Saccharomyces cerevisiae S288C: one gene and its partner. The protein of the gene in region 1 interacts with the protein of each later gene in a biochemical or structural test. Each region holds a gene or a part of one and is shown on either strand. Other genes may lie near its edges.

What was found. Proteins that work in one complex are often made in the same cells at the same time.
Region 2: the proteins of CBP3 (region 1) and COB are reported together in a solved structure, tested with the Saccharomyces cerevisiae proteins (one study listed by BioGRID).

Annotation. Positions count from the first base shown.
Region 1 is NC_001148.4:141,920-148,923, reverse strand, and holds CBP3 (Cbp3p), read right to left. Parts: upstream 1,509-7,004; coding exon 501-1,508; downstream 1-500. Other genes in the region: THI6 (bifunctional hydroxyethylthiazole kinase/thiamine-phosphate diphosphorylase), read left to right, coding at 1-355; YPL216W (uncharacterized protein), read right to left, coding at 1,795-5,103; GTPase BMS1, read left to right, coding at 5,753-7,004. UniProt on the Saccharomyces cerevisiae protein: Chaperone required for the assembly of ubiquinol-cytochrome c reductase of the mitochondrial respiratory chain.
Region 2 is NC_001224.1:33,268-43,760, forward strand, and holds COB (cytochrome b), read left to right. Parts: upstream 1-3,272; coding exon 3,273-3,687; intron 3,688-4,455; coding exon 4,456-4,469; coding exon of another isoform or gene 4,470-5,312; intron 5,313-5,873; coding exon 5,874-5,950; coding exon of another isoform or gene 5,951-6,998; intron 6,999-7,573; coding exon 7,574-7,823; coding exon of another isoform or gene 7,824-8,984; intron 8,985-9,240; coding exon 9,241-9,291; intron 9,292-10,029; coding exon 10,030-10,380; downstream 10,381-10,493. Other genes in the region: intron-encoded RNA maturase bI4, read left to right, coding at 3,273-3,687, 4,456-4,469, 5,874-5,950, 7,574-8,984; cytochrome b mRNA maturase bI3, read left to right, coding at 3,273-3,687, 4,456-4,469, 5,874-6,998; cytochrome b mRNA maturase bI2, read left to right, coding at 3,273-3,687, 4,456-5,312. UniProt on the Saccharomyces cerevisiae protein: Component of the ubiquinol-cytochrome c oxidoreductase, a multisubunit transmembrane complex that is part of the mitochondrial electron transport chain which drives oxidative phosphorylation.

The DNA.
Region 1 (7,004 bases):
TGGTACTTTTGGAGGCGAATACAAACTTTCATCAGGAACAGAAGGAATAACCGCTGAAGATCTTCCATGTGTAATAATTGAAGATGGCCCAATTCCTATCATGGGTGACATCACTGCAAGTGGATGTTCACTTGGTTCTACAATTGCTTCCTTTATCGGTGGGTTAGATTCCACTGGAAAACTGTTTGATGCTGTGGTTGGTGCTGTCCTATTATACAAATCAGCTGGTAAGTTGGCTTCCACCCGTTGTCAAGGAAGTGGTTCATTCCATGTCGAATTGATTGACGCATTATATCAATTATTCCATGAAAATAAACCAGAAAAGTGGTCCGCTTCTTTGAAGAAATTCAAATAAACTATTTACAACGTAATGATTTTATAAACTGATTAAATAAGGAAGAAAGCCCAAAAAATTGGAAAAAACTTAAGGAATTTGTGCGGATAGTATCTGAAGAATAAATAAGTGTTTTCATAAGTTTTGAAGTTACAAACTAGCTCGTTTAGTTTGTATATGACAGCCTACTTCTCTCGCTTGGTAAGGTTTTAGGATCCTTGTCTAGAGCTTCATATTTTGCAATGGTCTTGGCCTTCAACTCTTCCTCTTGCTTTGGTGTCAGTTTTTCGACCTTCACCCCAGGAGGAACAAACTTGAATTTACCTGTGGCAAACTCTCTGTCTGATAACCTGCTTAGAACATATAGTTGAGAATAAATGTATCTCACAACAGACTCTAAATGAACCATATCAATGTTCTTTCTTCCACCAAAAAGATTTCTCCAGACAGCTGTCGCAAGTGTACCATCATCTGTAGCAAATCCTTCATCATATGCAAATATCGCTCCTCTTAATTGCGTATTGAAATCTTTCAAATATTGATCTGCGATTCTACCAGAATTAACTTTCATTTCCTCGAATAATCTCAGCTCAATGTCAGAAAATGTTCTATCTACCAATTTCTGCTGATAGTTTCTGCCGTATTTGAAAGGCATGGCTCTCATACGTACAAAAAGTATCCACTCGTGCAATACAGTGATTTGAAACCATTGTGAAAAAGTACGTGGTAGCTTCAAATCCTCGTAAAAGTATTTAGCAGTTTCTGATAATGGCTCGTCCTCGTATTGTAAACCTTGCTCTTTACAAATTTTATAATAGTAAGATCCTGCAACGGGCCCTGCCCTCACTCTATCCATATCTAAATGAAATGCTCGAATTACTAGTTCACCCAAGGCTTCTTTCCATTTGGGAAGTTCGTACTTTGACGATTCATATTTACTATGAGCTAGAGGAATTTTATTCTGAGCAGTTTTCACTGGTGCTTTATTGCTTACATCTAGTGGTTTCGAATTCAGATGTGAGCTTTTTGCTAAAAGCTCTGGCGAATCTTGTGCAGTTTCTTTATTTTGCTTGAAAACACATGTTTGATGCAAATAAGCTCTCGAGTAGTAAAAAGGGGACTTTCTAAGGAAAACAGGGAGTCGACCTGAAGTAAATCTATTGACTGACATCATCAAGTGTTGGAATAGCTGAAGAGATTGTTACGGAGATCATAGTGTTTGCTAAATATTAATCTTACTAATGCGTCAGTCGAGGACCAATTTTGACGTTGTTTTCCTTGCTGGCTATAAATTCAGAAGAACGCCGGGTAAAGCCTAAATACAACTCCAGTCAGACGCCCTGAAATGGGCCAATTTATATACGAGGAATAATGAATGGTGAAGATTAAATAGTAAAAGATATTTCTAATATCTTTCTAAGGCGTATACAGGAAGAGTGATTTGAACTGCAGAGTTGTTTCTAGTTGCGTTCTTCATCCTCTCGTCGTCTTGAAATAAGTTGACATTCAATCTCCTCTAATATACCCTGCACATCAAGATGTGCAGCTTTATCTACTCGTTGAGAACTTATCCCATAGCCTGAAACATGACTAATATGCTTATACCTCTGATGATTTAAAAGCTTCGTAAGAATATCCTCTTGCCTTTTTCTTTTCGTTTCAACTATAAATTCGAGGTCTATCGTCCTCAATTGTTCGAAATGAAAATTCAAAGGATAAATCAAATTTTGTTGCTTTTTGAGAAGTGCTCTTTCACATTCTCCAAGGTGAGCTACGTCTTTTAAAATCGCTTCCAAAACGAGATCATTCTTTGTCCTTGATAGTTTTTTGGAAATTTTCTCCATGTTGGAAAAATGTTGGCCGTTGGATGTACAAGTTGTCTCAATTCTTTTCAGTTCAGGAAACGTGAACTCGTTATTTTTCAAAAGTTTGTGATTTTTTTTGAAGGTTTCATCACATTCAATACGCCTTTTAATTTTGAACTGTTGCTTGTATGATACTTCAATACGGTCCATTTTGGATGTCAAAGCTTTCTTCAATTGTCCCTCATTTTCTCTTAAATCATCCAACCTATCTACTAACATATGTATATCTTCTATATCGTTGAAGAAAGCCCATTGATGATGAGAGAGTAGGAGCTTTTCTGGAGTTTCTGATATAATTTTTTTGTCTATGAATGCCGGAATAGTTGGCCTCATTAAGATACCGTTTGAATTAATTATCATGAAATTCTCACCTTGAGCAATTTGATAGTAAGACCCGTCTGTCGACCTAAATATTGAAAAGACTTCTTTTGTCGCGTAGGCAGTACCTTTTGCTTTAGCTAACAACTCCCATTTTTTCAAAGATTCGACGTCGACATCTAAGCAAAAGTTTATATCCGCTTCAGAGGGTCCTTGAACCCACAAAAAACAGCAGTTGTAAAGTTCCTCATTTTTTTCACTGATGGCTGATGACGATCCATTTGAGTCCATCCAATAATATCGATTTCCATTTCTATCTTTACCCAAAATCTCTAGTCTCTTGATATCGCTCTGAATCAATTTTGCCTCTAGGAAGGCGATATCTTCCATTAAGTATGCAATTTTCACTTTAAGGGCATTGACCTTACCTTTACATTCATCTGATCCATATCGGTTCATTGAAACGTTGCTGTGAAGCTTCACGCGATTTTTGGTTAACGTTTTTAGTTGCCGTTTCAATTTGATATACTCTTTTTTTGCACTATCCAACTTTAAGCGGATTCCATTGCACAGTTTTGGTACTTTATCTACCAACTCCTTAATATAACTCGAGAAATTGGACGCAAAATCTACGAGAACCCATAAAACATCAATTTTATCTTTTATAGATAATCTCTTGCGAAAGTTATCCCAGAGCTCATCACCTAAATTTACAAAATTCATGGATAAAGGTAGTATTTTTTTTGTGATACATTTTGCGACATCACTATATGCTATCATATGTGTATTCTGTTGCAAGATTCCAAGGAGACAGATCAACCAATTGCCGTTGCTAAAGTTTTTATTGTGCAAAAGTTTAACCCAGCTAGTATCTCCATAGTTCAAACACTTTTCTATAGCTATATCAATTTCTGTTTTATTTCCTTCCTCCTTTCGCTTTTCTTCAGTCCAATTGTCCATCAGATTACAATTCCAATCAGGTTCATTATCCGTCATCAGACACATTAACGAGCAAACTATATCAATGTAAAGTATATTCACTTTTTCGTACGATTGAAACTCCATATCGTCATTTTTTAGAGGCTTCCCTTTAAAAATGGAATACATTACAAATTCAGTACTTTTATCCGTTATAAATTTCCTCATTTTCTGGTTTCTGGTGAAATTGCTAGGTATTCGTTGACTCTCATCTGCATTAAAGACGTTAGCCTTCTCACGCTGGGATACGTTACTACTGGTCACTTGATTATATATTTCGTTTCTTGGCTTCTCATTTGTGAAACTCCCTTTGCTGTTGTAAGTTTTAAGAAAGTTTATTTTGACATATTCATCTACTAAAGCCTCCGGACTAGTACACTTGATAGTAGTAAGGAACTGATCAAAATTAAAATGTGATAGACCAATAAAACGTCCAAAAAAGCTCAGGAATTGATAAACAACCAATAGTCGTTCCGTTGGAAATTGACTGCACTCTTTGAACCATTTTTGATCGATATTCTTATATTCTAAGGAGCTATCTAAGTAGCTGATATTTTCAAATGGTATCGAAGGCCCAGTGAATGGAAGCTCCTTGTCGTCGACGGTTCCCTTCAAATCATTGTAGGCAAGGGAGTTCACATTATCGTAAATGTGGTCAAATGAGACTGAAATCTCGTCGTCAATTGCTTTTATTTTAGATAGTGACGTTTCCGACGTTTCCGACGTTTCCGACGTTTCCTTCCAGTCAGCAGGTTCAACATCGCTCTCTGGTGGTATAGTAAGAGGAGTGTAAAGCTCGGAAGAAGATGAGTTCATTCTATCCGGCAAATAATCAATCATATTAGGAGAGCATTTAGGGTTTACATCATATCTTTCTATATATTCTTGTTTCACCCTCCATGGTGCGTGCTCCTTATTCGATACTTTTATGAGTATTTCATTAAGAAAACACGCAATTATGAATTTAGAAAAGTGTGATTCTGGCCTTTTAATTTCATTCTGGCCTACAATTAGGGCCGCACCTTTAGATTCTCGATTCAGGCATTCTGTGATTAAATACAGTGACAATTTTGGGGCAGAAATTTCTCCCTTTTCACTTTCCATCATCCCGTTAGATTGAAACACATCCTTGACAAGGAACAACGTGACATTGTTTTCAATAGTTGGTGATTCTACCAAGTTAGGCTCTCCTTCTTTATAGGTAATCAATGCATTTTTTTGGATAGTTTTCAAGCACACCGTATCGCCTATAAAGAAACGGTTACTAAAACGCTGAAATGCGCTTTCTACAAGGTGTCCTACCTTCCTTATCGGACTGAAGTTTGCGAAATTTGCTATAGCCTTCCTTAGTTCTTTTGGTAAAAGATATCTGACCTTTTCACGGTGCTGTTCTTCGCTTTTTAACGCCTTGAAATACGAAAGGCCATCTTTTCCACTAATCTCACAGGTGAATATATCCCTTTTGTAAAAATCTAGCTTTTTTAAATCACTGTCATAATCATTTATACGCTCGCTACTTTCTTTAATCACCCATGGAGTTTCAGAGAAGGAATCAGCAGACTGTCCTATTTCCTTAGGTTGTATTTTCCTTCTGTTAAGCAGAACCATTTTTGCTTTGAATTTAAAGTACGGCTAGAAGAAGAGCCAAACTAGGGATTGCGATTTTTACTGAATGAAAATGATTGTCTCTCTTACTAAGTCTGCTAACATTTATCAGGTTCATAATGTTTACTATTGAAGTGGCGCGTTACAAGAAAACAAGTCATCCCATATTGAAATGACAACAAATAGAAAAATACACATAATTCCATATCGCTAAATCACACTATCATATACAAAATGGACCAAAGTAAACAAATGTCGATTCATGCAAGTATTGTTACATATCTTGTCACTTTCTCTTCCAAAAGTTGAGGATAGCTGTAAAGGTGCATTTGCTAAACTCTCAGAAACTGCTGGTCCTAAACAATATCAAAACAAATATCAGATAGGTAAGCTTAGATTATTTTAAGGACATGTGAGCCATAGTGCAGATACTCGTACTACTGTTGTAAATATTTCTGTAATTTCAAAGTTGAGATTATCTAGATGAAGTTTTTTTTTTGTTATCGCCTAAGTTTAATGTCCGTACAAATGAAAAATTTTCAAGGCGATGAGCTGAAGTGAAGCTTCAAAATTAAGGAAAGTATTTGCGCTGTTAAGGTAAAAATATCACATAATAGTAGCCTTTAATCAGCCATCTGAGTTATCTGAAACGATGGAGCAGTCTAATAAACAGCACCGTAAGGCGAAGGAGAAGAATACAGCAAAAAAGAAGCTCCATACGCAGGGTCATAATGCAAAGGCCTTTGCCGTGGCAGCCCCAGGTAAGATGGCGAGAACTATGCAAAGGTCAAGTGATGTGAACGAAAGAAAACTGCATGTTCCTATGGTTGATCGTACCCCTGAAGATGATCCGCCTCCATTTATCGTCGCTGTCGTGGGTCCACCTGGAACAGGAAAGACTACTTTGATTCGGTCCCTCGTCAGGAGAATGACAAAAAGCACTTTGAATGATATTCAAGGTCCTATTACTGTTGTCTCTGGTAAACATAGAAGACTAACTTTTTTGGAGTGCCCTGCGGACGATCTGAATGCGATGATTGATATTGCTAAGATTGCCGACTTGGTTCTTTTACTAATTGACGGTAATTTCGGTTTTGAAATGGAAACAATGGAATTCTTAAATATTGCTCAACATCACGGTATGCCAAGAGTACTTGGTGTAGCTACACATCTTGATCTGTTTAAATCTCAGTCAACTTTGAGAGCTTCTAAGAAAAGATTAAAGCACAGATTCTGGACGGAAGTTTATCAAGGTGCAAAATTATTTTACCTATCTGGTGTGATTAATGGAAGGTATCCTGATAGAGAGATTTTAAACCTTTCACGATTTATATCTGTTATGAAATTCAGACCATTAAAATGGAGGAACGAACATCCCTATATGTTGGCTGACAGATTCACAGATTTAACTCATCCGGAATTAATAGAGACTCAAGGACTGCAAATCGACCGCAAAGTCGCTATCTATGGTTATTTGCACGGTACTCCTTTGCCTTCTGCTCCGGGCACTAGGGTGCATATTGCTGGTGTTGGTGATTTCTCAGTAGCACAAATTGAAAAATTACCAGATCCATGTCCCACACCTTTTTACCAACAGAAACTGGATGATTTTGAACGTGAAAAAATGAAAGAAGAGGCAAAGGCTAACGGAGAAATTACAACTGCCTCTACGACAAGAAGACGTAAAAGGTTAGATGATAAAGATAAATTGATATATGCTCCAATGTCCGATGTCGGAGGTGTGTTGATGGATAAGGATGCTGTTTATATTGATATTGGAAAGAAAAATGAAGAGCCAAGTTTTGTTCCCGGCCAAGAAAGAGGTGAAGGAGAAAAACTCATGACGGGTTTACAAAGTGTTGAACAAAGTATTGCAGAGAAATTTGATGGTGTGGGTTTGCAAT
Region 2 (10,493 bases), on another chromosome or scaffold:
TATATATTATAATATAATTAAAAAGTATTATAATTGAAACGAAAATTGTAATTTTAAATGGAATAATAATTATTATATATTTAATATATTTAATAAAGTTATAATATCTCTTTCTACCGGACTATTTTATTTTATTTTATTTTATTTTTATAAAGAAAAATAGTAATAATATTATCTTCTCCTCCTTTCGGGGTTCCGGTTCCCGTGCCGGGCCCCGGAACTATTAATTATATAATATAATATAATATAATATAATATAATATGATACGGATCAAACATTACCCGTTGTTCACTGGCAATGTTTAATCCTATTGTATATAAATATAATAAAATAATTATCCCTCTCGTAATACATATATAAAATATAAAATATAAAATAAAAATATTATGATTATTATAATATATATATATATATATATAAATATATATATATAATTTATAATTTATATGATTAATATATTATATATATAAAAAATATATTAAATTTACTTTTTATAGAAAGGAGTGAGGGACCCCCCCCCCTTACGGGGGGGAACCGAACCCCGCAGGAGATATTTATTTTAATACTTATATAGTATTTATTAATAATATAATAATTGTTATTATAAATATTAATAATAATATAAAAATAGGGTAAATAATATAAATAATATGAATAAATATAAAAACATATTAAATATAAAATATATCATAAATTTAATAAATATTATAATAATTTATAAATGATAGATATCTGGGGTCCTATAAATAATAATTATTTTCAATAATTATAGGGACCCCCACCTATTATATAAATATAAATATAAATATAAATATAAATACAAATATAAATATATAAATATATAAATATAATATAAATACAAATATAATATATAAATATAAATATAAATATATAAATATAAGTCCCCGCCCCGGCGGGGACCCCGAAGGAGTGAGGGACCCCTCCCTATACTAATGGGAGGGGGACCGAACCCCGAAGGAGTATAAATAAAAATTAATAATATATATATAATTATAATAGTTCCGGGGCCCGGCCACGGGAGCCGGAACCCCGAAAGGAGAAATAATAATATAATATATAATAAAATATAACTTATTAATATAATATTAAAAATATAATTAACAAGAATAAATAGTCCGTGGGATCGAACCCCCTTTTTTATTTAATATTTAATATTTAAAGAAGGAATTGTTTATATATATTAATATCTTATTTGGGGATTAATATAATATATAAGTTTTGGATACCAGGCCAAAGACCGGAATCCCAAAAGGAGATTATATAAATATTATTTATCTCCCTTTTTTAATATTATAATAATTTTATTAAAAATAAAATAATAATAATAATTATAATTTATAATAACAATTATAATAATTTAATTAATTAATTAATTAATTAATTAATTAATTAATTAATTAATAATAAATATAAATATAAAAAGAATATAATTTATAATAAATAAATTTATATATATATATATATATTAAATAAAATATTTACTTCATTAATATAAAATATAAATATATTTAATTAATAAGTATATATATATAATAATATATAATAACCTATTTATATATATAATCTTAATATAATTATAAGAAATATTATATAAGTAATATATAAAAATAATATAAAATAATTATAATTCAATTTATATATTAATAGTTCCGGGGCCCGGCCACGGGAGCCGGAACCCCGAAAGGAGGAATAAGATAAATATATAAATTATATTAATAAATATAAATTTTAAATGAATTAATAAAATTAATATATATATGTATATATATATATATATTAAAAATATTTAATTATTTTTAGGAAGGAGTGATAGATCCCTTTGGGGGACCGAACCCCTATTTAAGAAGGAGTGCGGGACCCCGTGGGAACCGAACCCCTTTTTTATTTAAAGAAGAAGTTTTATTTTATTTTATTTTATTTTATTTTATTTTATTTTATTTTATTTTATTTTATTTTATTTAATTTAATTTTAATTAGGTTAATAAATAGTAATAATAAACTTAATAATAATAATAATAATTTTATTTTTATAATTTATTAATAATAATAATAATTATATATATATATATTATTAATAAATATAGACCTTATCGTCTAATGGTTACGACATCACCTCTTCATGTTGATAATATCGGTTCGATTCCGATTAAGGTTATTCATAATAATAAATATTTGTAAAAAAAGTATATATAATTAAACATATTCTTTATATTAATTAATAATTATTAATAATATACATTTTATATAATACAATTATATATATATATATATTTTTTTTTAATACAAATAATATATTCATAATAATAAATACCGATTGTTATTATACTATAATAAAATATATAATATATTTTTCATTATAATATTTTTAAATAAATATTATAATAAATTATATAAATAATATTTATGTATAATAATAATAATAATAATTGTTATTAATTAATTCTATAATTATTATATATTTAATTTTTTTTTTTAATATAATATATAATAATATAATTTATTTTATTTTTTTTTATAGTTCCGGGGCCCGGTCACGGGAGCCGGAACCCCGAAAGGAGAATATAAATTAATAATAATATAAATAACATATTAACAATAAATTATTGTTAATATAATAATAATAATAACAATATTAATAAATAATATAAAAATTATTAATATTATATTTATATAATATTAATATAAAAATCTTTCATAATATTAATTATTATTAAATAATAATGATATCATTAATATTAATATAATCGTCAATATTATTTATTTATTTATTTATTTATTTATTTATTTATTTATTTATTATTAAATAAATATTTTTAAATATTATATTATATTATTAACTTTTTATTAAAAAAATTAATAATGATATAATATAATTAATATTATCCACGGGACCAATGACCAACCCAGTAGTTGACCGGATTGGCGCCCGCGAGGTTTATATTTAATAAATAATAATAATAATATTAATAAAATCTATTAACTTTTTTTTTTAATGGATTATATTAATGAAAAAAAAATGAGAAATATCTTTTTTTTTTAATAATTATAATTTATATATAATAAAATATGTATATATAATAAAAAAATAGTTTTTAATATTATAATATAATTATATATATAATTATAAATATATATATATATAATAAGTATTAATTAATAATATATATTTATATATTTTTTATTAATTAATATATATAAAATATTAGTAATAAATAATATTATTAATATTTTATAAATAAATAATAATAATATGGCATTTAGAAAATCAAATGTGTATTTAAGTTTAGTGAATAGTTATATTATTGATTCACCACAACCATCATCAATTAATTATTGATGAAATATGGGTTCATTATTAGGTTTATGTTTAGTTATTCAAATTGTAACAGGTATTTTTATGGCTATGCATTATTCATCTAATATTGAATTAGCTTTTTCATCTGTTGAACATATTATAAGAGATGTGCATAATGGTTATATTTTAAGATATTTACATGCAAATGGTGCATCATTCTTTTTTATGGTAATGTTTATGCATATGGCTAAAGGTTTATATTATGGTTCATATAGATCACCAAGAGTACTATTATGAAATGTAGGTGTTATTATTTTCATTTTAACTATTGCTACAGCTTTTTTAGGTTATTGTTGTGTTTATGGACAGAGTGAGACAAGTATAAGTATATTATTATAATATCATACCATTAAATAAATTATTTTAATGAAATGATTATGTTTATATATAACATATACCTAATTAGACATGCATTATTAGTAATAATTTTGTATGAAACTCTAATAATAATAATTATTATTAATTATTAAGGTAAGATTCATATGGATAGCGTAAGTCAATCTAATATTATAAAATATCGTAACATAAACAATATTTTTTTCTATTATTAATTAATAAATAATAATAAATAAAAATAATTATATGAGAAGTAAGATATTCAATTCTGTCTAGAATACATATATATACGTTAATACTCATCGGTATAAAATTAGAATCCTAAGTGAATTATTGAAAGTATAATAATATAAACTTGGTAAGCCCAATTATTTCCATATAATATTAATATAAATATTATATGGTAGTTATATATAATATTATTAAATAAATAATAATAGAAATTATAATATAGATAAGTGGGTAAAAGACTATTGAAAAAGCTAAAGATTATATGTAATGTATAATATAGATCAAATTATTTATATATTTTAATAAAAATATATTAATAATGGTTAATATTATTATTAATTAATTAATTAATTAATTAATAATAATAACGAATAAATGATTAATGTGAAAGCATGCTAACTTCAATATAGGATGATTTATATAGTATATAAATTGTTTGAGCTGTATACTATGAAAGTAGTACGTACAGTTCTGAGTGGGGGAAAATTTGTAAAGATCTACCTATCACAATTGTCACATTGAGGTAATATAAATATCGCCTCAAATATATTTAATATAATAAAACTAATTTATATAATAATGTTAATATTATTAATTTATATTTTTTATACGATTATAATAAGACAAATAATAAAAACTAAAGAATATCTTATATTAATTAAGAGTATAGATTATATTAATAAAAATAAATATATAATTAATTTAAATATAACAAATAAGAAAGATATAAATAATAATATTGGTCCATTAAATATAAACATTTTATCAATTATTTATGGTTCAATATTAGGAGATGGTCATGCTGAAAAAAGAAAAGGTGGTAAAGGAACAAGAATTGTATTTCAACAAGAATATTGTAATATTAATTATTTATATTATTTACATAGTTTATTAGCTAATTTAGGTTATTGTAATACTAATTTACCTTTAATTAAAACTAGATTAGGTAAAAAAGGTAAAATTAGACAATATTTAAAATTTAATACATGAACTTATGATTCATTTAATATGATTTATTCAGAATGGTATATTAAAAATATATCTGGAAAAGGTAATATTAAAGTTATTCCTAAATCTTTAGACAATTATTTAACTCCTTTAGCTTTAGCTATTTGAATTATAGATGATGGATGTAAATTAGGTAAAGGTTTAAAATTCACAACTAATTGTTTTAGTTATAAAGATGTTCAATATTTACTTTATTTATTACATAATAAATATAATATTAAATCTACTATTCTTAAAGGCAATAAAGAAAATACACAATTTGTTATTTATGTATGAAAAGAATCTATACCTATTTTAACTAAAATTGTATCTCCTTATATTATTCCTAGTATAAAATATAAATTAGGTAATTATTTATAATAAAATATATAGTATTATATTAATTATTATATTATTATAATGCGATATTATTGAAAACATGTCAAAATTATATTATTAAGTAACAAGACAGTGGGTTATATAATTATATGATCCCAACAGAATACACCAATAATAGGTATTATTATAAAAAAAATAATAATATTTAATGTTTATTCGAAGAAAATTTATAATATTATTATTATAACACAAGGTTTAATAATCTATATATATATATTATATATATAACTACTGTTATTATTCCATTTACCTAATTAATATATAAATAATGAATTATAATTATTATGATTAATATTTTTATAATAATAACCCCATCATAACATTTATATATAACATTTATATATAACATTTATATATAATATTTATATTATGGTATTATTAGGTATAAATATTTATTCATAAGAGAAAATAGTGATTAAATGGAATTATAAAAAGGGTAGATATTATTAAATACAGGGTATTATTTATATTAATAAATCAATAAATATTGAGATTATTATTATTAAAAAATAATAATAATTTATAAATAATATTATTTTCTTGGCACTAGTTATTACTAATTTATTCTCAGCAATTCCATTTGTAGGTAACGATATTGTATCTTGATTATGAGGTGGGTTTAATATAGAGGATCCATATTATAGTAATATAATATTAAATAAATCTGTTTTATGCTGAAATATCTTCATTTGAATAATAAATTACTATATTATTCAATTAATTATTTATAATAATATAATTTGAAATAAAAATAATATAGTTAAAATATTTATTATAAGAAGAAAATTAGCAGTAATTAATATATATATATATATAAAATTAATTATTCAGAGACTTTATAGTTATTATATAAATAATACTATTATTTATGATAAAAATCATAAATTAAACACAGATAATCCTATTTATGCATATATTGGTGGTTTATTTGAAGGAGATGGTTGAATTACTATTTCAAAAAAAGGTAAATATTTATTATATGAATTAGGTATTGAAATACATATTAGAGATATTCAATTATTATATAAAATTAAAAATATTTTAGGTATTGGTAAAGTAACAATTAAAAAATTAAAAATAAAAGATGGTACTATTAAAGAAATATGTAAATTTAATGTAAGAAATAAAAATCATTTAAAGAATATTATTATTCCTATTTTTGATAAATATCCTATATTAACTAATAAACATTATGATTATTTATATTTTAAAGATAATTTATTAAAAGATATTAAATATTATAATGATTTATCTTATTATTTACGTCCTATTAAACCATTTAATACTCTTGAAGATATTTTAAATAAAAATTATTTTTCTTCATGATTAATTGGTTTTTTTGAAGCTGAAAGTTGTTTTAGTATTTATAAACCTATAAATAAAAAAATAAAACTTGCTAGTTTTGAAGTATCTCAAAATAATAGTATAGAAGTTATATTAGCTATTAAATCATATTTAAAAATTACTCAAAATATTTATACAGATAAATTTAATAATTCAAGAATAACACTTAAAAGTATTAATGGTATTAAAAATGTTGTAATATTTATTAATAATAACCCTATTAAATTATTAGGTTATAAAAAATTACAATATTTATTATTCTTAAAAGATTTACGTCTTATTCTTAAATATAATAATTATTTTAAAATTCCTCCTAAATATTAATCTTATATAAAAATATAATAATAATATATTTATATATTATATAATTATATAAACAAAATATAATTTATATATAATTATTTATTATAAATATAGTCCGGCCCGCCCCGCGGGGCGGACCCCGGAGGAGTGAGGGACCCCTCCCTATTCTAACGGGAGGGGGACCGAACCCCGAAGGAGTTTAATTATATATTAAATATATTATTATCAATAAATAATTCCTTTGAACTATTTATTATTTTATTATATTTATTTTCTCCTTCATTATTAATTTTTATTAATAATTAAAATCTTATCATTTTATGGTATTTTTATTTCTATTTTAGGATATCGAAACTATAAATTAAAAAGTATAATTTTATTAATTATAATTTATGATTAATAAATAAGAAATAAAAACTTTAGAAGTAATATTTATCTTTTTTTTTTATAAATAAATATTATGATTAATATATAATCATTTATAAATATTTATATATAATTATATATATACATAAATAGGATTAAGATATAGTCCGAACAATATAGTGATATATTGATAATAGTTTTCAAATATGTAACTATTTAAACATTAAAAGCTCAGTATCTAACCCTCTAATCCAGAGATTCTTTGCGTTACATTATTTAGTACCTTTTATCATTGCTGCAATGGTTATTATGCATTTAATGGCATTACATATTCATGGTTCATCTAATCCATTAGGTATTACAGGTAATTTAGATAGAATTCCAATGCATTCATACTTTATTTTTAAAGATTTAGTAACTGTTTTCTTATTTATGTTAATTTTAGCATTATTTGTATTCTATTCACCTAATACTTTAGGTCAAAATATGGCCTTATTATTAATTACATATGTAATTAATATTTTATGTGCTGTATGCTGGAAATCTTTATTTATTAAATATCAATGAAAAATTTATAATAAAACTCTATATTATTTTATTATTCAAAATATTTTAAATACAAAACAATTAAATAATTTCGTATTAAAATTTAATTGAACAAAGCAATATAATAAAATAAATATTGTAAGTGATTTATTTAATCCCAATAGAGTAAAATATTATTATAAAGAAGATAATCAGCAGGTAACCAATATAAATTCTTCTAATACTCACTTAACGAGTAATAAAAAGAATTTATTAGTAGATACTTCAGAGACTACACGCACACTAAAAAATAAATTTAATTATTTATTAAATATTTTTAATATAAAAAAAATAAATCAAATTATTCTTAAAAGACATTATAGTATTTATAAAGATAGTAATATTAGATTTAACCAATGATTGGCCGGTTTAATTGACGGAGATGGTTATTTTTGTATTACTAAAAATAAATATGCATCTTGTGAAATTCTTGTAGAATTAAAAGATGAAAAAATGTTAAGACAAATCCAAGATAAATTTGGTGGTTCTGTAAAATTAAGATCAGGTGTTAAGGCTATTAGATATAGATTACAAAATAAAGAAGGTATAATTAAATTAATTAATGCCGTTAATGGTAATATTCGTAATAGTAAAAGATTAGTACAATTTAATAAAGTATGTATTTTATTAAATATCGATTTTAAAGAACCTATTAAATTAACTAAAGATAATGCTTGATTTATAGGGTTCTTTGATGCTGATGGTACTATTAATTATTATTATTCCGGTAAATTAAAAATTAGACCTCAATTAACTATTAGCGTTACAAATAAATATTTACATGATGTTGAATACTATAGAGAAGTATTTGGTGGTAATATTTATTTTGATAAAGCTAAAAATGGTTATTTTAAATGATCTATTAATAATAAAGAATTACATAATATTTTTTATCTTTATAATAAAAGTTGTCCTTCTAAATCTAATAAAGGTAAACGTTTATTTTTAATTGATAAATTTTATTATTTATATGATTTATTAGCTTTTAAAGCACCTCATAATACTGCTTTATATAAAGCTTGATTAAAATTTAATGAAAAATGAAATAATAATTAAATTTTCTCCGTATTCATTATTATATTATCTAATTTATAAAATATTTAAAGATTCCTTATAATAATATAACATCTTTGTAAATTATTGTTAAAGATAATATAAATTATTATGAATCGGTAGATTATATTTTTACAATCTTATTAAATAAAATTCTGATCATTAAACATGATTGAAGAAATAATAATAGTTTATGAAATAAGATAGTGTAATATAAATTTTTATGAAGATATAGTCCATTTTATATTTATTATAAAAGCATCCTGATAACTATATTCCTGGTAATCCTTTAGTAACACCAGCATCTATTGATATTAAAAATATTAATAAAATTATTATTATTTAATCTTATTTATTTTATATAAAAAAAATAAATAATAATTATTAATAAAAATATATTATTTATTTCTCCTTTCGGGGTTATTTATATATATTCCTTTATAATTTATATTTAATATATTATATTAAATATATGAAAAATTATAATAAATAAATTAATTAATTAATAATAAATAATAATAAAAAGTACAGTAGCATTAAATATTCTTAAGTTTCCGCTTTGTGGGAACTCCCATAAGGAGTTTAATGATTAAAATTGGTTAATTGTCAAGAAAATCTAAGGTATTAATAAATAAATAATACTATGACAACTTGCAGCGAAGTTTATATCATCTCTATATTATATATTAATATATATATATAATAATAATAATAATATTAATATAATATAAGATATAAAAACGTTCAACGACTAGAAAGTGAACTGAGATAGTAATACCTTTCCACGAAAACCAATTAATTTATAAATTATTTTTAAATAAAGAATAGATTATTAATTTTTTTTATATAGTTCCGGGCCCCGGCCACGGGAGCCGGAACCCCGGAAGGAGTAATATATATTATATATAAAATAAAAAATATATATATATATATTATAAAATATCAAAAGTTTTAATCTTTTATTATAAATTAATGACATAGTCTGAACAATAATGAAAATTATTGAGATAAGATATTAAATAATCTTATGTTAACATATATAAATTGTGTACCTGAATGATACTTATTACCATTCTATGCTATTTTAAGATCTATTCCTGATAAATTATTAGGAGTTATTCTAATGTTTGCAGCTATTTTAGTATTATTAGTTTTACCATTTACTGATAGAAGTGTAGTAAGAGGTAATACTTTTAAAGTATTATCTAAATTCTTCTTCTTTATCTTTGTATTCAATTTCGTATTATTAGGACAAATTGGAGCATGCCATGTAGAAGTACCTTATGTCTTAATGGGACAAATCGCTACATTTATCTACTTCGCTTATTTCTTAATTATTGTACCTGTTATCTCTACTATTGAAAATGTTTTATTCTATATCGGTAGAGTTAATAAATAATATATAATTAAATTAATACATAGATATAATATATATATTATTATTATTAATAATATAATAAAAATAAAAATAAAATTATTAATAATAATAATACTTTAATAATATTCTTAAAA